4 linked regions of the Sus scrofa genome follow. The main gene of each other region encodes a partner of the protein of the gene in region 2 in a complex. Links are inferred from orthologs where the notes say so. Each region holds a gene or a part of one and is shown on either strand. Other genes may lie near its edges. The genes, in order: RIPK1, CASP8, MEFV and RIPK3.

Region 1 (8,018 bases), on a different chromosome or scaffold from region 2:
GTGGATGGGTGGGCAGACCGACAGACACAGGCCCAGGAGAAAAGATACAGAGAAAGACCCTGACGGGTGAGCAGGAATTTTATTTGGATGGTTGGGTGATTCTTTCTTCTCTACACTTTTACTACATTTTCCAAGTTTTCTACAATAAACATGAATTATCTTCGTAATGAATTTTTTGGCCTCACCCACGTCATATGGGCGTTCCTGGGCCAGGGATCAAACCTGCCCCACAGCAGCTACCTAAGCCGCTGCAGGAACAACACTGGATCCTATACACCACAGGAGAACTCCGACAGATCTGTTTTAAAGGAAATAATTCCTTCACTGTGCAGTTCTTTATTCTAAGGAATCAGGTGCTGGCATAGATTATGCACAAAGATGCTCCCGGTAACACTACGAAGAACAGCAAAAGAACAGAAAACAACTGACGTGCGCAGAATAAGGGAGAGTAAGTTATACGGCCAATTCGCACCATGAAATACATCCAGCAGTTTTCAAAAATGGTGGTAGGGTATGCATGTTTAGTAATATTACAAAAGGCTCACAGACCGAGTAAAGAAACAGAAAGGAATTACACCCATGCCTTGAAAGAGGCCCAGCGGGGTGTCAGGATTCAGGAGGATGAGGTTCCAGCTGCTCTCTCTCCTTCAGCCCAGATCTTGGCTCCTCAGAGCCACCAAGACCAGCGGGGACTTGTAGCACCCCCTGCAGGCAGGATGCGCTCGGTGGGGGCGGCTCCCGACCTGGGCTGGTTCTCCTCGGGCTGCGGTTTGCTGGTTGAGGCTGGTCTGACCTAACTTCTGCTCCTTTGCATGCTGTCCAATGATTTCTTGAGATTGTACTGTTGCCCCCGCCCCCCGTTTCCTCTTGAATGATTCAACTTTATAAACACTGAATAATTTAGGAAGGATTGTGTGTGAGTGATTTAGAAACCCAAGAGTCACAAAAACACAATGCAGGCAGAAAACCAGACGATAAAGCCCGTTACAGAGGGGTCAATAAAAGCCAGCCGGCCAGTTGTCAACTTGCGATTAACTAATTTCCACAAGAACGTGAATATATCTCATTTAATGGGGTTTCTTAAGATTTCTGCATAAGTATATTTTTGTTTGTTTGTTTTTTAGGGCCGCACCCACAGCATACAGAGGTTCCCAGGCTAGGGGTCCAATCCGAGCTGTAGCCACCAGCCTACACCACAGCTACACCACCACCAGATGGGAGCCGCCTCTGCGACCTACACCACAGCTCATGGCAACGCCGGATCCTTAACCCACTTGAGCGAGGCCAGGGATCAAACCCTCAACCTCATGGTTTCTAGGTGGTTTCTGCAGCACTGGTGACGGGAACTCCTGCATAAGTGTATTTAATTCAGGGACTCAGGAAAGCAATCTTTTCCACTGAAGTTAACTGAAACTTCACTAATGACCTTCAAAGGCACGACAGGTCTAGGTATCAAAATATTTATAGCTATATTCCATTTTGTTTCTCACTATACCTCAGTAAAGCTGGGGGGACATGTGAATTGTTAATAATAAATAATAACACCAAAACGCCAACAAAACTGATCTATGACCCTAACAGTCGGGAGAGTGGCTCCCGGGGGGCGGGGGCGGGGGGGACCAGGAGGCTCTAACTGACACGAGGTTCGAGGGATTGCGGGCAGCAGTGTCTTACTTGGTCAGGTTCCCTCTGCGATGCGCAAGAGAGCAGTTAGGCCCTGTGCACTTTTCTATGTAAACATTTTAAAAAGCGACTCCAAATACTCATAGTCACCTTTAAGTGGGAAGGAGTATTTTCTCCATTTTACAATGATGACCGTAGGTAATGAGTCTGACGGAAAATGCTGCCCATCGCTGCCCTCCTTTCCCTGCTGACAGTACTCTGATTTGACTCAAGTGTCCAAGGGTTCTTTGCTTATAACCCCTTGAGGCTTTGCCCCAGATAAACAAGAGCTCCGAGCAAGGAACATCCCAATGATAAGTAAGACAGAATGACAGGAAGCGTTCCAGCCAGCCTCCCCAGGTACCTTAGGACACTGCGGCCTAACGGTAAAGGCAGTAACTCCTGGAGTTGAATGATGCCTCTAACACGGCAGAGTCTTTCCTCTCTCCACTCAAACTTCCGCTAACACATACATGCTTCTTCTCTAGGGAGCAAACCATAACCTTTGTTAAAATCACGTGCAAGAACCTCATCTCACAAACTTGCTCACCCCTGAGAAACACACACATCAAAGTGTGTGGTTCCAGATCAGCTTTCTGCAGGTTATAACACGATCATTTTTGCCGGAGAATAACATCCAACCAGAGCGTGGGAAGCTTTGTGTTTTTTCAAATTCCCCGATCACACTGGCCGTATCAACAGTGTCGCGGATTAATAAGCCCCAATCGGAAATTGGCGATTTCCGAACTCGATGTTTAGGGACTTTTTCTTCACTCTCCCGGATGTCCCCAATCCTCCAAGTACAACGTGCCGCAGAGGAAAATGGAGACAAGTTAAAAGCGTTACTGCTGCCTCGTCAGTGATAACTAATGACGCTGCCGCTGTACCCCATCATTTTATTTTGAACGAACTCAGTCTTCACCTTTACTGTCTGGAAGAGCTGCCCTTCCCCGCACGTATAACTGACCACGACTGTCTCCCTTTCTTTTGCACCTACCTGATGGTTACAAAATGCAGATCAAGCACGAAGTCACTCTACAGGGCCAAGTTCACTCCTGCCTTGATTTCTCCGAGTGTAAAACTTGGGGTAAGAACAGTGGTCTAAAGACCGAAGAACTTCGGCAAAGTTGGTTGAGTGCAAAGGCTTCAGGCTTTGTCCAAGATACACAAGAGCTCTGAGCAAGGAGCTGCCAAACGATCAGCAACAGGCCGAGACAACCAACCACCACGCCTCCGGCGGGGTTTTGTCCACGGCTCAGGGAAGAAGAACTTAGCTCGCCCTCTTCAAAAACTCCGACGAGGTCGTGGAGCGCTTGGTAAGAGCAAACGCCACTGGCCACGGACGAGGCCTCCTGGGGTTACGACATCCTGCCCCTTCGTCGCTGTGGACCCTTCTCTCCCACTTGCCGGCTCCCGGCCGAGGCTACGCGGAAACGCCCCCGTCCCGCGAGCCGCGGCGGCCCCAGGCCCCAGGCGAAGGTCCTTCCGAAGGGCGGTAAGGAGGCCGGGCTCAATGACACCGCCGTGAAACCCCACCTCCCCCACCAGCTCGACAGCGGGAACGGCGTCGGTTGGTTCCAACATCACAGGGGAGGCAGGGCTCCGCCCTCGGACCGCCAGACCGAAACCACCCGCCAGCGGGGAGCCGCCGCGCTGCGGCCAGGTAACCGGCCCGCGCCCGACTTCCGGGAACGCCTGGGCCACGCCCACCCCGCGCGGACCGCCGGCCGACTTCCGGGAAGGCCTGGGCCACGCCCACCGCCAGACCCCGGGAGCGCCGCGGGCCGCGCCCAGCACCCGTCGCCGGACCCGCGTCCCTGGTCCGACCCGCGGAGAACCCCGCCGCCCGGAACGAGGTCGCGGGCCACGCCCACAGCCTGACTTCCGGGAACGCCGACGGCCACGCTCACCACCTGACCGGCCCGCCGCCCCGTCCGTCCGGAACGCGGTCGCCCGCCCGCCGCCCGCGCGCCGGAAGCGGGAGCCCCGCCCTGGGCGGAAGCCGTTCGGGGAACCTGACCGCGGTCCGGGTTCCCAGCGCAGACCCACCGAAGGATTCGCTTTCGCTTCCGCGGGCAGCTTCCCGAGGCCGAGGCGGGGGCCGGGGCCGGGTGGAGGACGAGGCGGCGGGGGCAGTCCAGGATTGCCCCGACGCCCGGCAGCGTCGCCGGCGCGGAGCCTGACGAGGGTCGCCGCGGGCTGAGCCGTCGGCTGCGACACCGGCGGGGCGGCCCCGCGCTCCCCGCCCCCGGCTGCGCGAGCCCGCCGTCCGCCGCCTGCTGCCCCGTGGGTCGGCGCGCTCCGGCCCTCGCGGAGTGGGCCCGCCGGGACCGGCGCTCCAGAAAGCCGATCCGGTGTCCCCGTCGCCTGCGCGCCGACTGAGTGAGCTCGGCCGGAGGAGGGCGTGGACTGCTCGCTCCGCCTTCTGCCCCTGCCCCTGCCCCGGAGGAGGGCGAGCCGAGCGCCCGCCCCGCCGCCGGCCGGGCCTCCTGGACAGCTTTCGGAACCTGGAGTGCGCCCAGCCAGATGTCGCGGCTTTGCTGCGTTTCAGAGCGAGTCCGGAGGCCCGGAGAGGAAGTGCGCGGAGTCTTAGAAACCACTCTTAGAAACCTCCCAGGTGGGGCATGCAGCCCCAGGGGAGTTCTCAGCTCCGCGGGTCAGCGGCGCTGGAACTATAGGCAATTATCATGCTCTCATCTCCCTCACCTGTACAGCGAGGATAATAAAATCTACTCTGGATTTTAGAGTAGAAGAGCAAGGTATTTATTTTGCAGTCTTTTGCAATGATAATTGGGAAGTCTCAAGCAAAATGGGAAATACTTGCTCTAGTGTTACGTTAAAAAGCTTATACACAGCGTGATAACATACTGTAAAACGGTACATACATCAAGAGAATGAGATGCCACAAACTAAGAAAAAGCACATATATTAAAACAGTATTACCCAAAATGAAGTAAAAACCTAAGAAAAGGAACATCGCAGTAAGAAAATGGGCAAAAGATCTGAACAGTCACTTTACCATATAGATGGCATGTGAAAAGATGGTCAATATTAGAAGTCACTAGGAAATTATGAATTTCTTCTTATTCATTTATTTATTTTGGCTGCACTCAAGCAGCATGTGGAAGTTCCTGGGCCTGGGATAGACCCCATGTCATTAAAGCAACCTGAGCCACTGCAGTCACAATGCTGGGCTCTTAACCTGCTGTGCCACGAGAGAACTCCAGAAACTGTGATTTTAAACAGCAATGAGATACCAGTACATCCTATTGACTTAAAATAGACTGCCAACTATTTCTCAAAAAAAAGGTTTATTCATGATCCACAAAGGATTGCATTTCAGGGTCTGCAACTGTAGGAAGCTGTGTGCAAAGCCCCAGCAAAAATGGAGAGGAGGACACTTTTATGGGGACAGAGGAAGTTAGGAGGGCTATAGTTTAAAAAAAAAAAAAGATGCAAATCAAAACTACCATGAGATATCACCTCACACCAGTCAGAATGGCCATCATTAATAAATCCACAAATACCAAGTGCTGGAGGGGCTGTGGAGAAAAGGGAACCCTCCTGCACTGTTGGTGGGAATGTAAACTGGTACAGCCACTATGGAGAACAGTTTGGAGATACCTTAGAAATCTATACATAGAACTTCCATATGACCCTGCAATCCCACTCTTGGGCATCTATCCGGACAAAGCTCTACTTAAAAGAGACACATGCACTTGCATGTTCATTGCGGCACTATTCACAAGAGCCAGGACATGGAAACAACCTAAATGTCCATTGACAGATGATTGGATTCGGAAGAGGTGGTATACATACACAATGGAATACTACTCAGCCATAAAAAAGAATGACATAATGCCATTTGCAGCAACATGGATGGAACTAGAGAATGTCATCCTGAGTGAAATGAGCCAGAAAGACAAAGACAAATACCATATGCTATCACTTATAACTGGAATCTAACATCCAGCACAAATGAACATCTCCTCAGAAAAGAAAATCATGGACTTGGAGAAAAGACTTGTGGCTGCCTGATGGGAGGGGGAGGGAGTGGGAGGGATAGGGAGCTTGGGCTTATCAGACACAATTTAGAATAGATTTACAAGGAGATCCTGCTGAATAGCATTGAGAACTTTGTCTAGATACTCATGTTGCAACAGAACAAAGGGTGGGGAAAAAAATGTAATTGTAGTGTATACATGTAAGGATAACTTGATCCCCTTGCTGTACAGTGGGGAAAAAAAAAAAAAAGTCTGTAGCTTTTCACTGGTTGAGTTGCCTGGAGAGAAGAGGTGTTTTTTCTTCCTCTTGGCCTCTCTGCTGCTGTTGCAGGTATGAGAACTCCCCCTTCTGGCCTCCTCTATTTAAGGTTTTTGTTCTTTGTTCATTTGATTTTTACATTTCCCCCTTTGATCAAGATCTTTCTCTGAAAGCATCTCCATTCAAGCATGAGATTTTTTTGGTGTCAGTGGCTTTTCTGTACCCCAGTGTCAGGAAAGCCCTTTCCTATCTCCCATCAGTGGGAAAGGACACAGATTGCAAACATGCAGAGGTTACACTGGAGTAAGAAGGAGGAGTATGAGAGCTGTCAGGCACTTTTCACCCAAAGTTCATATGTTACCAAGATCAGAGACGCTGGAGATCATCTGAAGTGCTGTGTTGTCAAAGCTTTGGCAACAAACTCCCAACACGCCTGGTCCAGTTATCTTGGGAAAGCTGACTCATCAGATGCCATCTGCTTCAATTCTGGGAAATCTTTACCTTTAGGTCGCCAGATGCTGTACAGGTCCAGTCAGGCTTTGGCTCTTAAATGTAATTGTGTCATGTGAGTCCAAGAGTCAGTTCTTTGGAGTGTGGTGGCACAAGGGTTGGTTAGCAGTACCTGATAGGGCCTTTCCAATAAGGTTGAAGAGTTTGGAGGTGTCTTACTCCCACAGATAAAATCTACTGGTTGCAGGTGTGAGGCTTAAGGTCTTCATTTCCCTGGAGACACTGGAAAGACTACAAAATCATGGTTATTTTTGGTTGAAGTAATTAGATCTTTATGATAGTGGAACAATGCATAGCACTCCTGGGTCAAAAGAGGCAGGCGCCAAGCATAACGTGTGTCCTATGACTATCTCAGACCGTGAGAGTTTATGAATATAAGAAGTGGATCGAAGATTCAGAAGGACCAACGGCAATGCTTTTGGCCAAAGTATTTAGAAACCTTTGCAAATGTTGCCAGCTGAGTTATAAGGGCACCATTAGCACAGTCAGGTAAACCAGAGCACTGAGGGTGTAACTGCAGCTACGGTGTTGCACAACTGGCCATACAGAGCACACTTGCTGAGGTTCTTCACCAGTAAAACGGGTCCCTTGATCACTGTGAACCGCAAGAAGAGTTTTCCAGATAGGGGTATTCTTTCCCAAAAGAACTTTAACCAAAAAAAAAGGGAGTAGCCTGACTACAGGGGAAGACTTCAGTCCAGTGGAAAAACACGCAGACCATGACTAAAATAGCCACGAGGTGGAGGAAATTGTAAGACATTTGTTTGCCAGACCTGGAGTGGTTCATTGGGCTCTTTAAGATGTCACTGAAGATGGGGAGAGCACTGGAGAGGCTGCTTAGAGGGCAGAGGTACCTAAAGCCTTTGCACTGGTGACAATCTCTTTTCCAATGTCTGGGCTCCTTGCATAATCAAAGAAAACTGGGAGGATTTTGGTTTTATTTAGAAGACTTCAATTACTGCGGTTGAAGATTTAAGAATTTTGGTCTTCCTTTGAGGTGACACGTCTAGAGTGAAAGAGCTGGTTTGCTAGATTAAAAAAATTTAGAGTTGATACAGTTTTCTAATCTATTCTGGTCCTTTTTTCTAGAAGAGAGAGGTACCATTTCTGTCCATTAATAAGTATAGAGTTAGGGGGTTCCCTTAGGTGGCTCAGTGTTAACAAACTTGACTAGGAACCACGAGGACACAGGATCGATCCCTGGCCTCGCTCAGTGGGTTAAGGATCCGGCATTGCCATGAGCTGTGGTGTAGGTTGAAGATGCGGCTCCCATCCTGCATTGCTGTGACTGTGGTGTAGGCCAGCAGCTATAGCTTTGATTCGACCCCCAGCCTGGGAACCTCCATGTGCCACAGGTGTGGCCCTAAAAAAGCCAAAAAACAAAGTATAGCGTTAAAAGCTGCCCTGGTGGAATCAACAACTGAAGGAGACCTGAGTTTTCTTCAAAAATAATCCAACACTGGGAACTCTGGTCACTTATGATGGAGCATGATAATGTGAGAAAAAGAATGTATACATGTATATGTGACTAGGTCACATTGCTGTACGTGAGCAGAAAAGTGACAGAACACTGTAAACCAGCT
Region 2 (7,244 bases):
GCGGGTTCGGTCCCTGGCCTTGCTCAGTGGGTCAAGGTTTCGGCATTGCCGTGAGCTGTGGTGTAGGTCACAGACGCGGCTCGGATCCTGCGTTGCTGTGGCTCTGGCGTAGGCCAGTGGCTACAGCTCCGATTCGACCCCTAACCTGGGAAACTCCATCTGCAGCGAGAGCGGCCCAAGAAATGGCAAAAAGAAAAAAAAAAAAAAAGAAAAATACCAAATAAAATCAACCTATCTTAACTTTCTGAACTTTATTTTAAAAAAGCTCACTGGAGGAGTTCCCCGTCATGGCTCAGCAGTTAATGAATCTGACTAGCATCCATGAGGACGCAGGTTCGATCCCTGGCCTTGCTCAAGGGGTTAAAGGATCCGGCATTGCCATGAGCTATGGTGTAGGTCAAAGATTCGTCTCGGATCCTGCGTTGCTGTGGCTGTGGTGTAGGCCAGCAGCTACAGCTGCAATTCAACCCCTAGCCTGGGAAACTCCATATGCCATCGGTGTGCCCCCACCCCCAGCAAAAAAAAAAAAAAAAGTCATTGGAATTTCTCTTGGTGGTGATTTGGTGGCGAGCTGCAGCTCGGATTCAATCCCTGGCCCAGGAACTTCCAAGTGCCATGAGTGTGGCCAAAAAAGAAAACAAAAAAACAAATAAAAAAGCTTATCATTGCATTTTATAAACCTCTTAGTAAGATTTGATATTTTATGTTTATATATACATCACTTTGATTTTAAAAATTACTTCAAAAAAAAAAGCAGAAAACTGGAAAATACATATGAATGTTCTTCACTTCCACAGGGAAATGTGGTTATATCCATCTTTTTTTTTTTTTTTTTTTTTTTTTTTTGCTTTTTAGGGCCACACCCGAGGCACATGGAGGTTCCCAGGCTAGGGGCTGAATCAGAAATACAGCTGCCAGCCTGTGCCACAGCCACAGCAATGCAGGATCCGAGCTGTGTCTGTGACCTACACCACAGCTCATGGCCAGATCCTTAACCCACTGAGCCAGGCCAGGGATCGAACCCTCAACCTCACTGTTCCTAGTCAGATTCATTTTGGCTGCCCCACGACGGGAACTCTGTTTTTGTTTTGTTTTGTTTTGTTTTTTTATCTATCTTTTTTAAAACCTGTGGCCCTGTTGATTCAGCTTTTATTCTTGCCTTTTGATAAAAACATAAGTGTTAGAAATATTTCCCTTCCCTTTTGGGTTCTTCTGTACCTGCATCCAAGTCTGTTCCATTTCTATCCTTAATGTTGTGAAGTCTGGCTATATTCTTCCGTGCTACACTAAAATCATAATTGTTGAAGATCAAACAGTATCCCCGAGGCTTGCTTTTCATTCGGTAAACTGCTTCTGATGCCTGGAAAACAAAAAACTCCAACTCAGGAGCTGACTCTGTGGGTCCAACACTTGAGATGTGAACAAACAACCCCAGGTAAGAGCGGAGGCATGTCCTCAGCTAAACTGGGATCCGAGTGCACTTTTCACAGCCCCGCCCCAACTTGGCACTTCTCCCCCAAGGAACTAGTTTCCACTCATTCCCACCCACCAAGATCCCCAGACTTCTGCCCCCCAGTTAGTGTGGAACAGCAGTGTCCCACACTCAGGTTTCCTGAGCATATTTATGAATAGTGTTGTCATCACACTGTATTGGTATGATTTTTTTTTTTTTTTTTCTTTTTCCAGCCACACCTGAGGCACATGGAAGTTCCTGGGCCAGGGGTAGAGCTGCATCTGAGGCTAGGCCACAGCAGCACCGGAACTGAGCTGCATCTACGACCACAGCTTGCTGCAACGCCAGATCCTTAACCCACTGAACAAAGCCAGGGGTCAAACCCGAATCCTCACGGATACAATGTTGGGTTCTTAACCCACTGAGCCACAACAGGAACTCCCGTGTTGGTATTATTCATTCTCCTTTCTTCTCAAAGCAGAGGACATCTATGCCAGGGACTAGGATATATTTCTAATTGGGCAGGAGTTGCTGGACATATGGGTGTCCTCATGCTGTCTCTGAGCTGCCACTTTGTGACCTTGTGATCCCCCTGGCTCTCTGCTCAACTCATCCAGGTTTCTGGGCTAACAGCTGAGGGCCTGCCCGTCACACAACATGGCCCCAGGATTTTTAAAGCTGACGGCTTAATCCACTTCTGAGGATCACAGGGACAGGAGGATAGAGATGTGCCAGTCGCAGGTCTTGGCTGTGCTACAGGTTATAGTATCTAGACTCCAGCACTTGACAGTATCAGTCAGAGGAGAGGCGGTGACCTCCTAACTTTTCCAGGGCTGTTTCAGTGCTAAACTAAGGTAGTTAACATTTATTGGGAAATCCGTGCAGTTTCTGGAGGCAGAGAAAAGGGCCCCAGGCTAGGGGGCCAAATTCCTGGCTCTACTATTTAATAACCTTAAGACTTTGGACAAGTTACATGATCTCTCTTGCACTCGGTAGCATTAGCTGATGGATGGGCAAGACGCTTGCAGAGTGCTTCACTGTTCACCAAGTGCCGCGTGACTTTGGTTAATTCTTGATGTTCAGACTGAGAGAGGTCTGGTAATTTGCTCAGGAGCCCGCTAATAAATGGTCTCTCTCGGAGTTCCCGTCGTGGCGCAGTGGTTAACGAATCCGACCAGGAACCATGAGGTTGCGGGTTCGGTCCCTGCCCTTGCTCAGTGGGTTAACGATCCGGCGTTGCTGTGAGCTGTGGTGTAGGTCGCAGACGCGGCTCGGATCCCGCGTTGCTGTGGCTCTGGCGTAGGCCGGTGGTCCGATTCAACCCCTAGCCTGGGAACCTCCATATGCCGTGGAATCGGCCCAAGAAATAGCAACAACAACAACAACAACAACAACAAAAAAGACAAAAAAATAAATAAATAAATAAATAAATGGTCTCTCTCAAGCTTAATTAGAAGTCTCCCACTACAGGGAGTTCCCATCGTGGCTCAGTGGTCAACGAATCCAACTAGGAACCATGAGATTGCAGGTTCGATCCCTGGCCTTGCTCAGTGGGTTAAGGATCCAGCGTTGCCGTGAGCTGTGGTGTAGGTCGCAGACTCGGCTCGGATCCCGTGTTGCTGTGGCTTCAGCGTAGGTTGGCTACAGCTCCGATTGGGTCCCTAGCCTGGAACTTTCATATGCCAAGGGAGTGGCCCTAGAAAAGGCAAAAAGGCAAAAAAAAAAAAAAAGAAAGAAAGAAAAAAAAAAGTCTCCCACTAGACTTCTAGCATATAGGGTTTCCTCTGCTTCCCGCCACAGAGAGAAGTGAATGGACTGGTGAGTCAGGATGCGGTCAATTGTTGAAGGCTGTAGAAACAGAAGTGATTATATCTGGAAAGGCAATTCTTGGGCCAGCTCACCCGGATGAGAACATAGAGACACTTGGATCATGAGCATTTTGCTGCTTACACCTAATCACGAAGGAGAATCAGTTTTTAAATGCCAAGCTAAAAAAAAAAAAAAAAAAAAAAAAAAAAAAAAAAAAGACAACTTTTTTCCAATCCTGCTCATCTTTCCCCCCAAAGCTCTCTGCCCTTGAGGCTGATGCAGCTGCCGAAAGACGAGGTTAGAGGCTCCCTACCCCTCTGTCCTCCAACTATTCCAATAGAAATAGAAACTTAATACACAGGAAACCAAAGAGCTGTTCAGTTTTATCTGGAAGCTAAAAATGCTCAGGAATCCGATAAATAGTATCTGCAGCGCAAAGGGAAAAGGCGACGGGAAGATACCTCTGAATCACTGTCCTGTTCTCCCAGACAGTCCGACATGGCCAGCTCTCCCAGGGACCCCTCCTGGATCACCAGTTGAGACATATCTGGAAAGAGACACGGCAGGGAAGTTCCTTTGGTAAGGAGGGACATGGCACTCGGGACAACGTAAGGTCCCTTTTGATAGGGATGGAGTAGACACGGGTAGTTATAGAAGTCCCAATAAAGAATCATAGATAGAGAGGGAAATCTAGGGGACACTGGGAGATCACCGAGAGTTAATAAATTGCTCAAAAAAGCCATCAGAGCAAGGCAGGCTTGCTCGGCTCGTGGAAGGAAGTTCAGAATTGCCTCAGGTCATTGGGTGGGGGATGGAAGGAGACCTTCGTTCAGATTCAGACCAAGACAGGAATTTGAGGACCGCCCTTCTGCTGATTTGAATACACACCTTACAGGATACCAAGGAGGAGCTGCTACTCCCCAAAAGGAAGAGGTGGGCTTTTCCAACCCCCACTCCCCTTGGATGATAAAACTGTAGCCTACCTAATCCTCCGGGAAGACCCTCTTGCCCGCCTGCTTGCATCTCTCACAAGCGTTCCGTCCTAATCAATCTATTTCTTGCCTATCCCTTTGTCTCTCGCTGAATTCCTTCTGCGAGGAGGCATAAAGACCCTGAACCTCCACAAGTCCAGACATCAGGTGAGTGCTCATTTAAAAACGTGGGTTCAAGTCTCCATCTGGGTTTAGGCCAGGTTCAAGTCCTGGCATATGGGTTCAAGTCCCAGTCTGTGGTCTGGCTAGGTTCCAGCCGTTAGTGCTGTCCGTTTCATTTTGAAAGTGAGAATTCACAAACCGCCTTAAATATAATATCCATGCAGTCCACAGAGTAAGTGAAAATCTTATCACTGACCAACTGCCCTCATTTCAAACTTGGGGCTGCAGGGCCTCTGTCTTTTGACAGCTTCGACATCTACCAACCTGCAGAGAAAGTGTCAACGTAGCCACTGCTATTAGCAGAGCAGGTCTCTTGGGTCTATGAAGCTCTCAGGGGGTAAATTAAACTAAAGAAACCTGGAAAACATCTCCAAGCATTACCATTTGAAAATTCATCCGAAGCACTTTCAAGGCTCATTCTTCGATCTGAAGTTTAAAAGCAAACAAACAAACAAACATTTGATTTGAAACAGCTGTGACATAGAGGGCTCAATCAATTTATGACTACCATTTGCTGATTCACAGCTCTTAGGTTTTTTTTTTTTTTTTCTTCTTTTAAGGGCTGCACCGCCAGTGTACGGAAGTGCCCACGCTCGGAACTGTAGAGCTGCAGCTGCCGGCCTACGTCACAGCCACAACTACGCCAGATCCGAGCTGTATCTGTGATCTATGCTGCAGCTTGCAGGAATGCCAGATCCTTAACACACTGAGTGAGGCCAGGGATTGAACCCGCATCCTCATGGATACTAGTCAGGTTCCTAACCTACTGAGCCACAACAGGAACTCCACCGTCAGGTTATTTTTACCTTTGTTTAATTCTTCATAATCACAGATTTTCTTCAGCAGGGCCTTGTTGATTTGTTCACAGATTCTTTTCAGAGTCTCCAAATTTCTTTCCCCTAGGATGGCCCTCTTCTCCATCTCTATAAACATATCAAGCAAGGTCTAGAGGGAGGAGATATAAAGTTGGAAAACTGGATGGAACCATATTGGCTTTTATTTATTTATTTATTTATTTATTGTCTTTTTTTTGCGGCATATGAAGTCCCCAGGCTAGGGGTCGAATTGGATCTGTAGCCGCAGGCCTACACCGCAGACACAGTAATGTGGGTTCCGAACCGTGGCTGCGACCTACACCACAGCTCACAGCAACGTCAGATCCTTAACCCACTGAGCAAAGGCAGGGATTGAACCCACATCCTCATGGATACTGAGCCACAGCTGGAACTCCCCATTATGGCTTTTTTTATTATTTTTTTTTATTTTTTATTTGCTTTTTAGGGCCCCACCCAAAGCATATGGAGGTTCCCAGGCTAGGTGCCAAATCGGAGCTACAGCTGCCGGCCTACACCACAGTGATGGGGGATCTGAGCTGTGTCTGCGAACTATACCACAGCTCACGGCAACAGCGGATCCTGGACCACTGAGCGAGGCCAGGAATCAAACACATCCTCACGAATACTAGTCGGATTCATTTCCACTGCACCACAATAGGAACTGCCCCCATACTGGCTTTTAGATTCATTTTTTTCACTGCCACTTTCTCCAAACCAAGTGCCCACCCTAGCTTCCCAAGACCCTGCCTTGTTCCTGAAAATTAATATGAGCAGCACTTTACAATATACAAAGGCAATGCATCTACAGCACTCATGCCTGACAACGTTCTCCCCTGATAAAAAATTGAGACTTCAGGTTACTTTTACCGACTCACATTCTCTTTGGTCTCAGAAGTCCCCACTGGCTGACTCACCCTCAGGACTAAATCTCGGTGAGACACCAGGTCTTACCATGTCATCATCCAGTTTACATTTGGCAATCTCCTGACTCAAAAAAAACTTAAAGTCCTTCAATTCCGACCTGGTCACATTTTCGGAAATCTGAAAAAGCATGACCCTGTAGTGGGAAACAGAATCACTTTTAGAACTACTTTCTTCAATAATTTCCCATTTGATACATGAGTCCCAGTGCACTTGTTTCCTATGGCTCACTTTAAAAAGCTAGCTAGCTAGGGAGTTCCCTGGTGGCTCAGTGGGTTAAGGATCTGGTGTGGTCACTGCTGGGACACAGGATCAGTCCCTGGCCTGGGAACTTCTGCATGCTGCAAGTGCAGCCAAAATGATAAGTAAAAATAAAATAAAGCCAGCTAATGACTTGATTTATAGGTTTAGTCCTTGGAAAGGGGTGTATTGACACTGAGACTACTGATTCATGCCCAATTAGCCCACTTTTTTTTTTTTTTTTTTTTTTGGCTTTTTAGGGCCTCTCCTGCCATATATGAAGTCAAAGTCCCCAGGTTAGGGGTCAAATTGGAGCTGCAGCTGCTGACCTATACCACAGCCACAGAAACATGGGATCCGAGCCACATCTGCAATCTATACCACAGCTCACGGCAACATTGGATCCTTAATGGAGCAAGGCCAGGGATCAAACCCACGTCCTCATGGATACTAGTTGGGTTCATTACCACTGGGCCACGACAGGAACTCCCGAAAATCAAGATCTTGTTGCAATAGAAAAAGGCTTTGATATTGGATATTGTGCTTGTCAGAATGCAAATCAGATCATCGCTTCCTTAATTAAAACTAGTCAATGTTCTCCCAGCCACTGCCTTCAGCAGGAAGGCCAAACACTTCCCTCTGGAATAGACTTTTGTAAACTGAGCCGAGCTGACCTCTTCTCCAGCCACTCCTCGCCGTCGTCCCCCCATCTCCTCTCCAAACCCAACCAGCTGCTCTGCCCCTCACCCTTTGATGCTGTGCCCCCGACACCCCCATTTCATTGTGCACCTCCAGACAACCCCTCATCCACCAACAGCTCAGGCACTGCCT
Region 3 (7,989 bases), on a different chromosome or scaffold from region 2:
TCATCCAGGAATTCTAATAGCAGCGGGTGAAAGACCATAGAGGCTGAGACATTTCTACACAGCCAGGTTAGTTATTAATTACAAAGACAAAAGGGACCTTTTACAATGGAGAGATCTTAAGGATGCAGGGATGTGCCCTCAGTCTAATAAGGAAGGAAGAATCACACAAATGTGCACTGAAGGACATTTAGCAGACTTTTCAAAACCATTAATGTCTTGAAAGAATTTTAAAAGAACGAAAAAATTTTTAAAAATTCAGGAGTTCCCATCATGGCTCACCAGAAATGAATCTGACTAGTATCCATGAGGACATAGGTTCGATTCCTGGCCTCGCTCAGTGGGTGAAGGATCAGATGTTGCTATGAGCTGTGGTGTAGGTGGCAGACACGGCTCAGATCCCACGTGGCTGTGGCTGTGGCTGCGGCGTAGGCCAGTGGCTACAGCTCTGATGCGACCTCTAGCCTGGAAACCTCCATATGCCACAGGAGCGGCCCTAGGAAGACAAAAAAAAATTTTTTTAACTAAAAAAAATTTTAAAAAATTCTTTAGGTGCGACCCTAAAAAATTAATTAATTTTAAAGGCCAGGGGGATGTGAAAGTGTTCTAGATAAAAGGAGACTTACAGAGACATGACAACTAAAAGCAATGTGTGCCATCTGATTGGATCCTTGTTTGGAAAAAAAAGCCATCAGAGACATTATCAGAACAATTGAGCAATTCGATTATGGACAGGTTGTAGTATTACAAAAACATTAAAGTTCCTCAGTGTATTAATAGTGTTGTGATTATTTAAAATAATATCTGGGAGTTCCCTGGTGCCTCAGCAGGTTAAGGATCCAGTGTCACTGCTGTGGTTCCGGTCGCTGCTGTGGCATGGTTATGATCCCTGGCTTGGGTACTTCTGTGCATCACAGATGCAACCCCCCAAAATAAAAGAAAATTTAAAAATTGATATCCAGGCATACTTATTCTTAGTATTTAGGGTATCTAGGGTATTTGGGTGATATCTTTTTTTTTTCCTTCTGCTCTTTAGGCATATGGAGGTTCCCAGGCTAGGGGTCCAATTGGAGCCATAGCTGCTGGCCTACAGCACAGCCACAGCAACGCCAGATCCAAGCCGCATCTGCAACCTACACCACAGCTCACAACAACATCGGGTCCTTAACCCACTGAGCGAGGCCAGGGATTGAAACCACAACCTCATGGTTCCTAGTCGGACTCATTTCCACTGCGCCATAATGGGAACTCCTGGAGTGATATCTGATATGTTTTAAATTTATTACCAAATGCTTCAGAAAAAAAAGAGAAGTGAAAGCATGTGTGTGTGTGTGTGTGTGTGTGTGTGTGTGTGTGTGTGAGAGAGAGAGAGAGAGACAGAGAATCACCAAACATTATAAAATGTAAACAGCTGGTGATCCTAGGATAAAGGGTATATAAGGGTTCACTGTACTATGCTTTCAACTTTTCTGTGGATTTGAAATTTTTTTTTTTCTTGTCCTTTTAGGGCTGCACCCTTGGCCTATGGAGATTCCCAGGCTAGGGGTTGAATCGGAGCTGCAGCCGCCAGTCTATGCCGCAGCCACAGCAACACAGAATCCGAGCCACATCTGCGACCTACACCACAGCTCATGGCAACACTGGATCCTTAACTCACTGAGTGAGGCCAGGGATCAAACCTTCATCCTCATGGATACTATTCGGGTTCATTTCTGCCAAGCCACAACTGGGAAATCCTGACATTTTTGGAAACAAAATGTCGGGGTAAAAATCAGTGCAGAAAGACGGAGCAGTCAACCAAGGAAGAAGTCAGCCCCCACCCCACACACAACACTTAGCTTCGGAGCCACCGCTGGGGCCCCACACTGGGCTGCGAGCTCTGCCGGATGCCTGTGCGGTTTTTCAGCCCTGTTTCTCTGGCATCCTGGCCCAGGGTCCCAGACACATGCTCAGTAGATGTGCAGGGACAAGAGCGCCCCCTCCGAGGCCTGGGGCTAGGAAGCTGCGGCAGAGGTAGCGCTGGGACAAACAAATCAGGATGGTGGGCCCAGGCCTGTGGCATTTTGAGGCATTCGTGTTGCTGGAAGAACCAGACAACCAGAACAACATTCAAGGGGGAGATAACAGGGCTGGTTTCTGGGCGGTGCCCTTCCAGCCTCACCTGCCTCCTTGGGTTGTACCTGCGGCTCCCCATTCCCCGCTCCACAAAGTCCCAAGAGTCTGCAGGGGAACAGCTGGCCGGAGAAGCTGACTTTCATCATGCTCCTCTCCAGCATGGGACCAGGGGCTCTGTTCCCCCCACTGTACCCCTGTATCCTGGGAGAAGCCAGGGAAGCATCACCATACCTCTCCCAAGATCAAGAACCTGGAATCCAGGAGTTCCTGTGGTGGCCCAGCCGGTTAAGAACCCCAAAGAGTGGCCCTGAGGATATGGATTCGATCCCTGGCTTCACTCAGTGGGTTCAGGATCTGGCACTGCGGCAAGCTGCGGTGTAGGTCACAGATGTGGCCTGGAACCAGGGTTACTGCGACTGAGGTGCAGGCCCGCAGCTGCAGCTCTGACTCAACCCTTAGCCCAGGAAATTCCATATGCCAAGGGTCTAGGCATAAAAAGGAAAGAAAAAAAAAAAAAAAAAACCTGGACTCCAATTCCAGACCCTCCAAGACTTACCCACCGCTCTGCAATCCATCTCAGCCAGTGAGAGCTCAGGTGCCGGCCACCTGTCTGACGGGGCGTGGAGCTCTCCCAGCTGGAAAAGCCTCTGCATCTGTAAGAGAACCCAAGCCAGCCATGACATGCTCATGGCCTTAGTCTCAGTTCCCACCAAAACGGAGAGCATTTCCTGTGCCTTTTCCGTTATTTCACAAGCTACCTCTTCTCACTCACCCTCGGGGCTCCAGGGCAGAGAGCTCAGAAGACAGACAGCTGCCTCCAGGCTCTCCTGGGCCACGCTATGGCCAAGACCCCCAGTGACCATCTGCTCTACTCCCTGGAAGAGCTGGTGCCCTATGACTTTGAGAAGTTCAAGTTCAAGCTACAGAACACCAGCCTGGAGAAGGAACACTCCCGGATCCCCCGGGGCCAACTCCAAACAGCCCAGCCAGTGAAGCTGGCCATGCTACTGGTCACCCACTATGGGGAGGACTATGCTGTGCAACTGACCCTACAGGTCCTGAGGGCCATCAACCAGCATCTCCTGGCAGAGGAGCTCCACAGGGCAATCAGCCCAGGTAAGTGGCCCCATGCCCCCGCAACTTGCTGGCTGCTGGCGGGGTGGGGTGGAAGGCGCAAGAGGGAACTGATGTTTGGACCAGGGCGTCTTGAGTCCAAGGTCTGCCACAACCCTGGTGACTTGAGCCAAGGAAGTGCTTACCCCTCTCTGGTTTTTGGAGGAAAGGTAAGGCTCCCAATGGCTTAACAAACAAAACAAAACAAAACAAAACCCAGAAGGCTGAGGTTCTGACTCTGGAGTGGGATCAGGAGAGGCAGGAGTGGCTGCCCGTTGGTAGAGGCGCCTCGCTTCATTTGTGATTAGCACTCACCCGGAGAGGAACAGCTTTGTTTGGATGATCACAGGGTTGATGGATGAACAGCAGGGTTGATGGGTAATCTCAGTGGTACCCCCTGAATTTCTGCTCTCAGTTCTTCTTTAACGCATGTTACAAAGGTATTTTAAAATTCTCAAAAGGACTCTCTTCTTTCTTTTTCCTTGCTTCCTTTCCTCTTTTGCCTCTTTCCTTCTCTCTCTCTTCCTTTCTTCCTTCATTTCCTGCATCTTTTCTTTCTTTCCTTTTTTCCATCCTTATCTTCCTTCTGCTACTGTTTTGCTGCAACTTTCTGATTTTATGACATTGTAATCAAAGAATGTGGCCAAGTGGTTCCTGTTTTTAAAGACTTTTTTTTTTTGGAGATGGGGGTGCTAAGACATGATTAGTTTAAAAAATTATTCTTTCATATTTGAATTTTTCTTACATTTCTAGACTTTTAAGAATACATCAGGAATACTTTATATGTGCTTCTATGAGGCAGAAGACTTTACATAACATAGAAATTCTCTGCTCTTTGAAAGAGTGATAAAACTAAAGCGTAATCTGAGTCTGGTGTAACCTGATGAGTAGAATTTTTAAGTTAATTTTTTGTATTTTAAAATCTGGTTATTAGCATTTTCATGGTTTCTTACCAGTTCTGGATCCCGTCTGGGTAACATGTTTTCCTAGACACCCAACAGCAAAATGTTTAAGCAACTTTAAATTCTAAGTATTTTTCAAACCAAAAATTAAGGTGCTAATTACAGGTTATTTTCATTTCCTTATTAAAGTAGTTTGAAAACCGTATCCCGGGAAGATATTTCACAGGTTATTTAGACTGTTACCAAATACCTAATTCAGATGTTGTTGTTTTAACTTATGAAACAAATTCATATTAAAATGTATATTAACCAAATTTTAAATACTGGAGGCCATCAGTGTGAAAGTTCGTGCTACACTTGAACTTTTTATGGAGACCCTGGAATTCAGCCTTTCTCGTTGTGTCTGTTTAATTAAACAGTATTCTGAAATTTCTATGCAAGCTGTATTTAACAAAAATTACTATGACGCTTGTCCGAGTTAAGGTTTTCTTTGCCTCATGATACCAAAGGGGAAAAAAACCCAGAAACAAATTAGCTTCTGAAGTTTTAACTGTCCTTCATAACCCCTGATTTCAAATTTGTGTGCCAATCTTTACTGATGGATTTTGTAAGTGGGTTTTGTACGTCGATAAACCACACACGAATGCATACCAATAAACAAATGTTTTCACTTACGCGTTAAGAATTCTTAGCAAGACCTAGGTTTCCCGCCTACAAAAGTTTGAAAAGGGAGTTCCCGTCGTGGCGCAGTGGTTAACGAATCCGACTAGGAACCATGAGGTTGCGGGTTCAATCTCTGCTCTTGCTCAGTGGGTTAAGGATCTGGCGTTGCCGTGAACTGTGGTGTAGGTTGCAGACGCGGCTCGGATCCCACGTTGCTGTGGCTCTGGCGTAGGCCAGTGGCTACAGCTCCGATTGGACCCCTAGCCTGGGAACCTCCATATGCCGCGGGAGCGGCCCAAGAAATAGCAAAAAGACAGAAAAAAAAAAAAGTTTGAAAAGCACTATTTCAGAAGACAGCAAATAATTAGTATGTTTTTATGTAATAGTAACTGACTGCCGACGTCTAGAATGTCCTGAACGTCCCTCATTTCAGGGGGAATTGTCTCTTCTCTCCCCTTCCCCACACCTTGACCCCGAGACTCTTCATGCCTTTTTATCTGTCTTTTCAGAATATCAGATACAAGAAAATGACACAGACAGTTCAGCAACGTCATGCTCCTCTAGGGAGATTAAGCCCAAAAGCCTGAAGATACTGGATGGCCTGGAAGGTGACAAGCAGCGACAGAGCAGTGACGGGGCTGGCTGCCCACCATCCATGCAGCCTGAGGCTGGCAAGGGGCCCCAGAAGAAGCCCCAGGTCAAACGGAGAGATCAGAAAGGCCCTGAGGGCCTAGATGCACAGAGCAAGCCAGGGGCCCGGAACATGACCACGTCTTCCAAGAGAAGCCCACTCCCTAGCAAGCCCCAGGGGGAGAAGGGGAGCAAGCCCGGTGTCAGCCTCCGCAGAAATGCCAGCTCTGCAGGAAGGCTCCAGGGCCTGGCCGGGGGCTCGCTGGCTGGGTCCCTGGGAAGGAGAGAATTTAAGATCTCTGAAGCCTATTTACCCACAGGAAAGAAGCGACCCAAAAGTCTTGAACTGACCATTTCTCCCGGAGAGATAGAATCCCTTCATCCAGAAACACTTCTGCTTCAAGAGAAAATGGGAAGTGAGAATCCAGGCTCAGCAGCCACCCCCAGTGAGATGGCCACTCTGAATGTGTGTGCTCCTGTGGCTCCAGAGAAAGGCTCCAGGAATCTGGAACATTCCATGACCCTGCAGGGGGGTGCACTCAGGAATACACTGTCCAACATATCGTTGGCTGCAAAGAAGAAGACGTGGGAGCGCCCAGAATCCACAGCACCTCCAGAGAAGAAAGGAACTGAGGCTCCAGAGAGCTCCAGGACTGTGGAGGAGGTGGCAGGCGGTGTGCTCCATGTACCTTCAAATCCGAAAGGCCCTCTGTCTTCAGGTAAGAAAGGACCTCAGAATCCAGGAGACTCAGCATCCTTGGGCATAATGACCTGTGCGGGTTTCCCCTATAAACCTCTGTTTATCCCCATTGTGTTTATTCCACTGGACCCCTGGGTGCCCCTTGAGGTCCTCAGCCCTTTGAGAATTTGATGTAGGCTCTGAATCCTGAAAAAAAAAAAAAGTGCACATGCACATCTTCAGGAGATGCTGCCTCCATTTCGGTTAGTTCTCTGTTTTGGGCTGTGCCTGTAGCAAGCGGATGTTCCTGGGCCAGGCATCAAACCCACACCACAGCAGGGACACCACCAGATCCTTTCCGTTAGTTAGTTCTTAGATACACTGATGTCCTTCTTAAGACTTCCCAAGGGCTTCGTGGACTCCAGGTTGAGCATCTGGAAAAGACTGGGTGGAAAGATCACCCTCTCACAATACCCCACGGTAGTATGTCGTGGGGCTGAGATCTTGCCATTGGCCTCTCCGGGCAAGGAGGGAGCTGTTGGCTAAACTCCTTGGGTCTCTTTTACTCAAGAGGCAGAAATTAGGGTTATGATGGGTTGACAGAAGTGCCAAAATAATGTAAGTGAAACAAGTCTGAAGTTTGTCCCCCCTCCATGTAAATGACACATAGGTGGTCCAGGATAAATGTGGTACCCTGTGGCCAGGAACCCAAGCTCCTGCCCTTTTTCTGCTCCACAGAGTTTGCTCTCAAGTTCATGGTCTCCAAGAGCAGCGTCCGCATTCTGGGCAGCGGGATGGAGGCACAAGGGAGAAGACGATCACTCAGGGAAGGTTTTCTCCAGTTTGCAGACACTGCTCATGGTGCCTCTACTTATTCACGTCCTCTTGGCCAGAATGAACAGGCACACCTTGGAAATATCGTGGGTTTGGCTCCAGGCCACTGCACTAAAGCAGATATTGCAATAAAGCAAGTCACATGGATTTGCTGGCTTCCCAGAGTATATTGTTTACACTACACTGTAGCCTATATGAGGTGTGCAATAGTCTTACATCTGAAAAACAATGTACATATCTTATTTTTTATTTATTTTTTTATCTTTTTGTCTTTTCTAGGGCCGCTCCTGAAGCATATGGAGGTTCCCAGGCTAGGGGTCTAATCGGAGCTGTAGCCGCCAGCCTACGCCAGAGCCACAGCAACGCCAGATCCTTAACCCACTGAGCAAGGCCAGGGATCGAACCCACAACCTCATGGTTCCTAGTCAGATTCGTTAACCACTGAGCCACGACGGGAACTCCATTAATTTTAAAACACTTTATTGCTCAACACTCCCCACCTTCTGAGACAGCCCACATTCTGTCTCTGAAGTATCTTTGTGTATAAATCTCTTTCGCTCTAAAAATAAATAAATAGGAGTTCCCTAGTAGCTCAGTGGGTTAAGGATCTGGCATTGTCACTGCAGCAGTTCGGGTCACTGATGTGGACCAGGTTTGATCCCTGGCCCAGGAACTTCCACATGTCCCAGGTGCGGCCAAAAAATATAAATAAATTGATAGCTAGATAAATAAAAATAATTTACTGCTAAAAAACATTCACCATCATTGACCACACAGAGTTACCACAAATCTTCATTCTGTAAAAATGAAGCCTCTGTGAAGGGCAACGAGGTGAAATGCAATGAAGTGAGGTGGGCCTGTATCCAAGCGACCATACCTAACTGCAAGGGAGGCCAAGAAAAGGAGGGTTTTTTTTTTTTTTTTCCGAGGGGGGGGTTTGTTGGGGAAGCAGCCACAGGGACAGCGATCAATTCTATTTAAAGGGAGGAGGGGAAATGGTAATTGGGGACCTCAAGAGGTCACTTAAAGATGTGATATGAGGAGTTCCTGCTGTGG
Region 4 (7,765 bases), on a different chromosome or scaffold from region 2:
GCCACAGGCGCTTCCCTCCCGGCGCCTCAGCCCCCTCCCACTTCCCTGATGGGACAGCCCGGCCCTTCCTGTGCCCTAGCCAGACTCCACAGGCCTCCTCCCCCAGTCTGATTGTCTCTCCCAGCACCAGGGCCTCCTCCCATCAACCCCTTCAAGGAATGAGAATGCAGACCATGGGGGTGCTGGGCCAGTATCAAAATGGACTCAGAACCTTGGATGTGGGGAGACTGAGGGAGGGCTGGAAGGAAGACTGGCAAAAATGCAGGGAAGAAGCACATGGTGCTGTATGGGAGCTAAAGTCTAGGTCAAGATGAGAGGGCTGCTCATTCCCTGCCCCTCCAGACTGGGTGGCAGTGCTGTGGCCCCATCTGACCGGTCCATGCTCCAGTGATGTCCAACTCCAAGGGAGGGGTGTGTGTGTAGCTTTGTGGAGCCATTGCTCTCCACTCCTAGACACCAGCAGGGAATCAAAGGGTTCTGAGGCCTCCGTGTTACAGCAATGTGTGCGTGGGTGTACCTGGGGGAGGGAGTGGTAATATGGAGGCTGACCTGTGAGAGACTAGGGGCATCGTGCAGGGCAAAGATGTGCTGGGGACTGCGAGTTCCCATGGAGAACCCCCTCCCCAGGACCCCACTGCCAAGCCTCCATAGCCCACAAGAAAAGGTGGGTGGCTGGGCCACAGCCTCTACATCCAGGGTTTGGTTTGGGGTGGGGTCTTGACCTGCCCTACAGGAAATGCTTTGCCCTGAGATTAGAGCAGCCCCAGGAGATAGGCCTCCAGGATTCCTTCCTGCCACCGGCTGGGCCTTGACCTTGTGTGCCACAACATTGCCCATTCCCAGCATCCTGCTTCCGGTTGGTTGTGGTCCGTGGTTGTGGTTGAAGGGCAGTACCTCCCACTCCCTCGATGTCAGCTCCCCGGTCTCTCATCCATGTCCCTTTCCCTCCCCTGGCTGAAGCTTTAGCCTCCTGTACAGTGCTTGGGCTAAAATTCCACCAAGTTTATTGAGTCCTGGGGGAACAAAGACAGTTCGGGTACAGGCCTAATGACCCTCAGAGAATGCTGGGTTTTCCAGAAGGCAGTTCAGAAGCTGCTTTGATACTGCTATCATGATACCAGCCCTGTGGCCCACTCCAGGCTTCCGTTTCTTGCAGTCCTTCTTTCTAGTTGTTTGAAAGCTACTTGTGCTGGGGGCCCTTCTTCATGCCCCAAGGTACCGGGCCCCGCGTGGATGAGGCAGTTCTTCCTTTTATAACCATGTAGTTGCTGTTTCCAATCTGCACCCCTTGGTTGTAAAGTAACTGAGAAGACCATGGCCCTTTAAGAGAAACAGTGATGCTCGAGGGAGGGTTAAAGGGTACAGATCTGAGAGTCTAAGCGAGGAGGAGCGGCAGGGTGGGGGGCAGCGGCACCTTGTGTTCACCCTGGGGAAATGCAAGTAGGCAGTCTCTGGGCCTGCCCACGACTGTGTCAAGGAGTGCCTTGGGTCTTCCCTTTCGGGTTTCAGAATTGGGTTTGCAGAAGCTCAAGAGGAGTGGCAACGAACATCTGAGACGCTGACATTTGGGTCTTTTCTGCTGGGTGGCCCTCTGGGCCTACATAGCAGCAATGGAATTTAGAGGTTCACAGAGCTGGAAAGTCAGAAGGCTCAGGGGCAAATCCAGGCTTTGCTGTGTGACCTAAGTGGGACCCAATCCCAGTTTCTTCATTTATAAGATGAGAAAGTTGGGGTAGGTGACCTCTAGCCCTTTCTCATCCCCCTCCCCAAGTACCCTGGATCTATATTTGATCTTGAGGAAGAAGCTGGTGGAAGAATTGAGCAGAGGAAAGGAGGGAATGGGGAATGGGTACCTGATATTGGATTTGGCCCTGGTGCCATGGGAGACCAGTTGGTGCCACGTCTTTCAGGCCCCTACAGACAACACAGTGCCATCAGGCTCCCTGTCCCTGGGCCTGTTCCCCTACTGCAGCCCCAAGTTTTCCCTGGCAAGGGGACAGGATTCACAGGAGTCCTAGTGCATCCTTGAGTCCTGCCAAGGTCTCACCTGATTCTCTTGGGGTCCAGGGCCTGGGGGCCAAGCTGAGGTGTGGCTGGGCTTCTGGCTCATGAAAGGTAAGGTCTCTGGGGTTTGAGGAGGTTGGGCTGTTGAATCTGAAGGTATCTCTGCTGTCCAGGTAGGCTGAACCTGCTCTTTCTGGGCCCTGATCCTCTCAGGAGGGTTTGTACATTTTTCAGGAACAGAGCTGGGGTACTCCTCCAGGTTCAGGCTGTTCATCATTTCAGAGACCACAGAATCATGGCTTCCTGTGCTCCCCCTAAGGCCATCCATTTCTGGACTTTCCAGGCCTGGCTCACGGACAGACAACAAGCTGCTGCTGCTCTTGTGCTCAGACAAGAACTCCTTCACCTGTAAGGATGGAGAGCTGGTTGGGCATGGAGGTGGGAGAGCCAGGGTTAACCCAAGGGAGGAGCCTCTTGGCCCATGTCCATTGCCTGGGAACTCAGGGATGGGTTGGGGGGAGTGGGCATGAGAGTCAAGGCTTAGAGAACAACAGTCAGCGGGGAGTCATTGGGTGGCCAAGGAAGCCATGCTGTGCCTTCCCTGCCCAGCTCCTAGGGGTGCTAGACACTCACTGTGGAGACCGCGGCATTCATCTTCTTACAAGTTACATCTTGTTTCATTACCAGATCGAGGGCTCCCTGGGTGTTGGGTCGGCAGTCTGGAGAGAAGGCAGAATGGGTGGTGGGTGAGCATAGCTTCATTATCAGGGAAGAGCCCCCTGCGGACAGACCCAGGCCTACCTCAGCTGCCAACTAAATGGCCAGCGCACCTTGGAAGGAGGGCCTATTCCGGGGGTCATGGCTCCAGCAGCGCTGCATTAAATCCTTCAGTCCTTCCAAACCAGGATTCTCAGGGCCAGACTGGGGCAGTTCATCCAATGGGGGTCGGACGTGCCTTTCACACACTGCTTCCCGCACCAGTGATATCTGGGTCGCCACTGGGGAGGGGGTGGGGGACGTGGAGAGAAGGCATTCAGAGAGTGAGGGCCACCTGCCCATCATGGAAAGGGGCAGGGAGTACAGTCCAAGGAGAGGTGAGGAGGGAGTAGGGCAGTGTGAGCAGGTCAATAGGAAGAGGAGAGCTTGGGGGGGTGGGGGCTTGGAGGAGGGGGACACCTGAGATTCGGGATCCCAGAGTCTGCCTGGAGTCTTACCCTCAGCTTCTCTTCCGGCTAGCACCGCCCACATCAGGATCCCAAAGCTGCAGGAGACAAAAGCTGAGGCCTGACCCAACTGCTGGCAAGACTCCCTTCCATATATTGTCCCTCAGAAGGACCCAGAGAGGTGTAGAAATTGGGATGTGTATGTGGAGTGGGTACCTTACCTGTAGACATCACTGGCCATGGAGGCCTTTCGGTTTATATCAGCCAGCAGTTCTGGGGCCAAGTAGGCTGGGGTGCAACCTGATTCCCCAGATTCTGCCCTTGACTGTGAACCTCCCTGAAATGTGGACAGGCCAAAGTCTGCTAGCTGCAAAGGGAGATAAGAAGGAAGAGATACGGATGGATAGGGCCAGGCAGCCTCCAGAACTTTCTTCCCACTACCCCATAGAATGTTTAGGTCCAGCCCTGGAAAGGGGGTGTGGAGGGTTAGAGAAGTGGTAGGACAAGTGGGGCCCTTGGTTGGAGGTCTGGGTCCTCTCTCCATGGGGCTGGGTCAAGATTTGAGCCTCCTAAGCTAGGTTAGCCATGGGTGTTTGGAGGTCCTAGTGGGTTCTAACACAGTGGAACTGACCATGTTGGTCAAGGCCTCTATCACCTGGTATGGCAGCAGCTAAAGCTCCTGGATGGCAGCCCTATATCCAGAGGGAGTTGCTGAGGGTATCCTGGGCTGCAGCAGATAGGTCTCATGTCCAGTGAGTGGAGCTGGAGCAGCTCTGGAGCAGGATTTTGTCCAGAGGTTGGGCTGGGGCGGGGATGCGCTGACCTTGGCATGGAGCTCTGAGTCTAGCAGGACGTTGGAGGGTTTGAGGTCCCGATGGAGGAGCACAGGGTCCTGGCTGTGCAGGTAGCACATCCCGAGCACCAACTCCTGGAGCAGGCGGCAGAGAAGCGGCCAGGGACGAGGGCACTGGGGCTGTAGCAGCTCCGCCAGGGAACCATTCTCCATGAACTGAGTCACCAGAGCCGGCCCAGATACATAGTCCCACTCCAGCTTCTCTGTGATCCCCAGCAGGAGCAGCACATAGCTGTTATGCAGACCTGCCATGGCCTTCACCTCCCTGGATATCGCCTGCCTGCAATCAGAAGAGAGTTGGAGTCTGCTTCTGAGAAGTTGCTCAGCTTCTGGGTAGACCCTTCCCTTTCCCACCCTGGCCCTGAGTTACAGCGGCCTGCCTTCTCCACCAAACACCTGGCTGGCACCAGCTGCCAGCAGCTTGGGTCACTCACGAGTTAACGATCTTGACCGCCACGTCTAAACCCCAAGTCTTGTGCTGCGCCCGGAAGACCGTGCCAAATCCTCCTTTGCCGATGAACTTCGGGTTCTCCAAGTCCTCGATGGGCACCAGGGGCGCTGAAGCACCAACGTGCCTGTGAGAGGAGGCCTGGTCATCAGCTGGCCATGACCCCCAAGTCAGCACTGCTGTTCCCCATGCCACCCCATCCCCGTGACCCCCATGACTGCATATGGTCAGTTCAATCCCCAGCCTCCCCCGTGAAACCCACTATGCCCCGGGGCCTTGGCACATGGGTGGGTGGCATCCCCTGAGTGAGCCCGCGGGGTGCCTATTGTGTGTGTGTGTGTGTGTGTGTGTGTGTGTGTGTGTGTGTGGTGGGGGGGTGGCTCCAGATCCATATCTCACTCTTTACTCACCATAACTTAACGCCGGACATCAAGTTGGTAGGTGCAGAGGGTTCTGGAAGTTGAGAGCCCACACGGAAAGGGGGGCGGCGCTGGGAGAGGAATCAATCTCCAAGCCCCGTCACAGACTCCGCTTCCCGGAATCCGCTTCCCGGCTCCCCAGGTTGTTCTCTCTACTCAGCCAGACCGACTTCCTCTTTGACGGAGGCCTCTGCAGTCCTGCCCTTGGGGGCGGGGGGGGGGGGGGGGGACGGACGGGGGCGGGGAGACCGGGACGGGGATGCGGGCGGGGTGCAGAAAGGAAGCAAGTGGTTTTCAGAACGTGCTGCTTCCGGGTTAGTTGCCCCTTTTTAGATCGCCACAGAAGGCGTCCTCACTTTCCAGGAACATATAATCAACAGCCTCCTACAAATGGTGTCGTTTCCTTCTTCCGCAGGATTCCTAGCTCAACCACCAAGCCTGCTGGTGCTGAGGATTCAGTGCTGAGGAGCATGTTAGGGGCCTAGGACTCAGCTCTCCTACAGCTGCCCTAAGGTCAGAGCTAACACATTTCTAAAGCGCACCACACGCCATGTACATATATTAGCTATTTAATTCGCATGTCAACTCTAAGGGGATAAGTACTTATTTATTTATTTATTTATTTTCCACTGTACAGCGTGGGGTACAAGTTAACATACATGTATACATACTTTTCCCTCCCATTGTTGTGTTGTGATGTATCTAGATATAGTTCTCAATGCTACACAGCAGGATCTCATTGTAAATCCATTCCAAGAGCAATAGTTTGCATAGATTAACCCCAAGCTCTTGATCCCTCCTCCTCCTCCCATCCCTCCCCCTGGCAGCCACAAGTCTATTCTCCAATTCTATGATTTTCTTTTCTGTGGAAAGATTCATTTGTGCTGTATATTAGATTCCAGTTATAAGTGATATCATGTGGTATTTGTCTTTCTCTTTCTGACTTATTTCACTCAGTATGAGAGTCTCTAGTTCCATCCATGTTGCTGCAAATGGCATTATGTTGTTCTTTTTTATGGCTGAGTAGTATTCCATTGTGTATATATACCACATCTTCCTAATCCAATTGTCTGTCAGTGGACATTTGGGTTGTTTCCATGTCTTGGCTATTGTGAATAGTGCTATAATGAACATATGGGTGCCTGTGCCTTTTTTAAGGAAAGTTTTGTCCAGATATATGCCCAAGAGTGGGACTGCTGGGTCATATGGAAGTTCTATGTATAGATTTCTAAGGTACCTCCATACTGTTCTCCGTAGTGGCTGTACCAGCTTAATTTCTCACCAGCAGTGCAGGAGGGTTCTCTGAACCATCAAACTTTGCTATATTCATATAAGCTTCAGCTGGTCGTGAAGGTGTCTGAGGAAGGTATGAAGCATCCAGCAGTGTAGTGGGAGTCCCTGTATGTATTCCTGCCACTGGTGGTGATTTGTCTGCTGGCAAGACCAAGACCCACTCCTAGGGCATTGTGGTCAGCGAGAGGAATTGACCCAGCAAAAAGAATTGCTGACTTGGTGGTGTACACTGCAGTGGAACACCTCAGAGCCTGCCTGCCCTCTCCTCCTGCAGCAATTCCTCAGGGAAAATTCTCTGGTTAATAAATATTCCTGACAAGCATGTGCTCTGGACAAGGGCCTTGGAGAACTCAGGAGCTTGGGGGAACCTTAAGGATTTAGAGTAGATAAAAGGTGTCCATAGATTACCTGCCCAAAGCCTGACAATAGCTGGAGGTTGTAGAGCTAGATATGGCTAGTCTTGGGCTTTCATTCCTTTACAGGAGACCCAACCCTGTGGGTCATGGGCCAGCTCTCACAGGACGGTGCTCACCTTGGTATGAACTTTCCATTCTGTCCAGTGGTTCATGGGCTCTGTTAGTTGGAGCAAAAGTGGCCAGCGTTTAACTGAGGTTTCTAGAGCAACTGGAACTCCGGGATCTACATCATGAATTCTAGTGACGTCAGTCCATGCTATTTGCAAACTATTTAGGATTTTTTTTTTTTTCTTTTTAGGGCTGCACTTGCAGCATATGGAAGTTTCCAGGCTAGGGGTCCATTCTGAGCTGCAGGTGCAGGTAGGTGTACAGGCTGAGGTGCTGTTCATACACCTTCAAGCCATAAAGGTGTTATTGTGTTTATCTGCCTGCCTTGGGCATAGCTACAATCTTCCAGGCCTCCACTTGCTCCTTAGCTTGGACCTCAGGGCCCCGTAAATTTTGAACTCTCTTGGCATTTTTTTTTTTTTTTTTGGTCGTCTTTTCTAGGGCTGCACTGGTGGCATGTGGAGGTTTCCAGGCTAGGAGTCTAATCGGAGCTGTAGCCACCAGCCTTTGCCAGAGCCACAGCAAGGCTGGGTCCATAACCCACTGAGCGAGGCCAGGGATCGAACCTGCAACCTCATGGTTCCTAGTCAGATTCGTTAACCACTGAGCCACGATGGGAACTCCCATCAACGGGTTTAAATCTTTAAGGATTTCAGAGTTTGGGACAATCAGATGAAGACTCTAAAGAAGTTATTGCGAAATGTTTAAAGAAATAAAAGATGGAATAGAAAAAAAATTAGCATGAAATAAGAGATTATAAAAATGTCCAACTAGACTTAGGGAAAAAACAGAATATCAAGAAATAAAAAAAATTATATGTGCCCATCCGTTAAAATTAAAACTGCAATGCAGAAGATATAGCTGAAGAAAGTGTACTAAAAGATGGATCTGAAAAAAAAAATTCATCAGGAGCTTCCATTGTGGTGCAGCAGAAACAAATCTGATTAGAAACCATGAGGTTGTGGGTTCGATCCCTGGCCTCTCTCAGTGGGTTAAGGATCCGGCATTGCCATGAGCTGCAGGGTAGGTTGCAGAAGCAGCTTGGATCCTGTGTTGCTGTG

Evidence for each region.
Region 1: CASP8 (region 2) and RIPK1 share a complex: the UniProt entries of both Homo sapiens proteins name them as parts of the AIM2 PANoptosome complex. The link is inferred for Sus scrofa from reciprocal best matches to the Homo sapiens genes CASP8 and RIPK1.
Region 3: CASP8 (region 2) and MEFV share a complex: the UniProt entries of both Homo sapiens proteins name them as parts of the AIM2 PANoptosome complex. The link is inferred for Sus scrofa from reciprocal best matches to the Homo sapiens genes CASP8 and MEFV.
Region 4: CASP8 (region 2) and RIPK3 share a complex: the UniProt entries of both Homo sapiens proteins name them as parts of the AIM2 PANoptosome complex. The link is inferred for Sus scrofa from reciprocal best matches to the Homo sapiens genes CASP8 and RIPK3.

The regions. Positions count from the first base shown.
Region 1 is NC_010449.5:1,837,188-1,845,205, reverse strand, and holds the start of RIPK1 (receptor-interacting serine/threonine-protein kinase 1), read right to left. Parts: upstream 4,064-8,018; 5' UTR 2,660-4,063; intron 2,147-2,659; 5' UTR 2,027-2,146; intron 1-2,026. UniProt on the Homo sapiens protein: Serine-threonine kinase which is a key regulator of TNF-mediated apoptosis, necroptosis and inflammatory pathways.
Region 2 is NC_010457.5:104,934,523-104,941,766, reverse strand, and holds part of CASP8 (caspase-8), read right to left. Parts: intron 6,310-7,244; coding exon 6,204-6,309; intron 5,362-6,203; coding exon 5,223-5,361; intron 4,843-5,222; coding exon 4,798-4,842; intron 3,810-4,797; coding exon 3,724-3,809; intron 1,361-3,723; coding exon 1,219-1,360; intron 1-1,218. UniProt on the Homo sapiens protein: Thiol protease that plays a key role in programmed cell death by acting as a molecular switch for apoptosis, necroptosis and pyroptosis, and is required to prevent tissue damage during embryonic development and adulthood.
Region 3 is NC_010445.4:38,931,737-38,939,725, forward strand, and holds the start of MEFV (pyrin), read left to right. Parts: upstream 1-2,884; 5' UTR 2,885-2,951; coding exon 2,952-3,228; intron 3,229-5,299; coding exon 5,300-6,139; intron 6,140-7,989. UniProt on the Homo sapiens protein: Involved in the regulation of innate immunity and the inflammatory response in response to IFNG/IFN-gamma.
Region 4 is NC_010449.5:74,948,472-74,956,236, reverse strand, and holds RIPK3 (receptor-interacting serine/threonine-protein kinase 3), read right to left. Parts: upstream 5,093-7,765; 5' UTR 4,899-5,092; coding exon 4,879-4,898; intron 4,596-4,878; coding exon 4,455-4,595; intron 4,301-4,454; coding exon 3,991-4,300; intron 3,535-3,990; coding exon 3,389-3,534; intron 3,266-3,388; coding exon 3,219-3,265; intron 3,003-3,218; coding exon 2,835-3,002; intron 2,724-2,834; coding exon 2,638-2,723; intron 2,411-2,637; coding exon 2,048-2,410; intron 1,915-2,047; coding exon 1,854-1,914; intron 1,321-1,853; coding exon 1,181-1,320; 3' UTR 982-1,180; downstream 1-981. UniProt on the Homo sapiens protein: Serine/threonine-protein kinase that activates necroptosis and apoptosis, two parallel forms of cell death. Necroptosis, a programmed cell death process in response to death-inducing TNF-alpha family members, is triggered by RIPK3 following activation by ZBP1.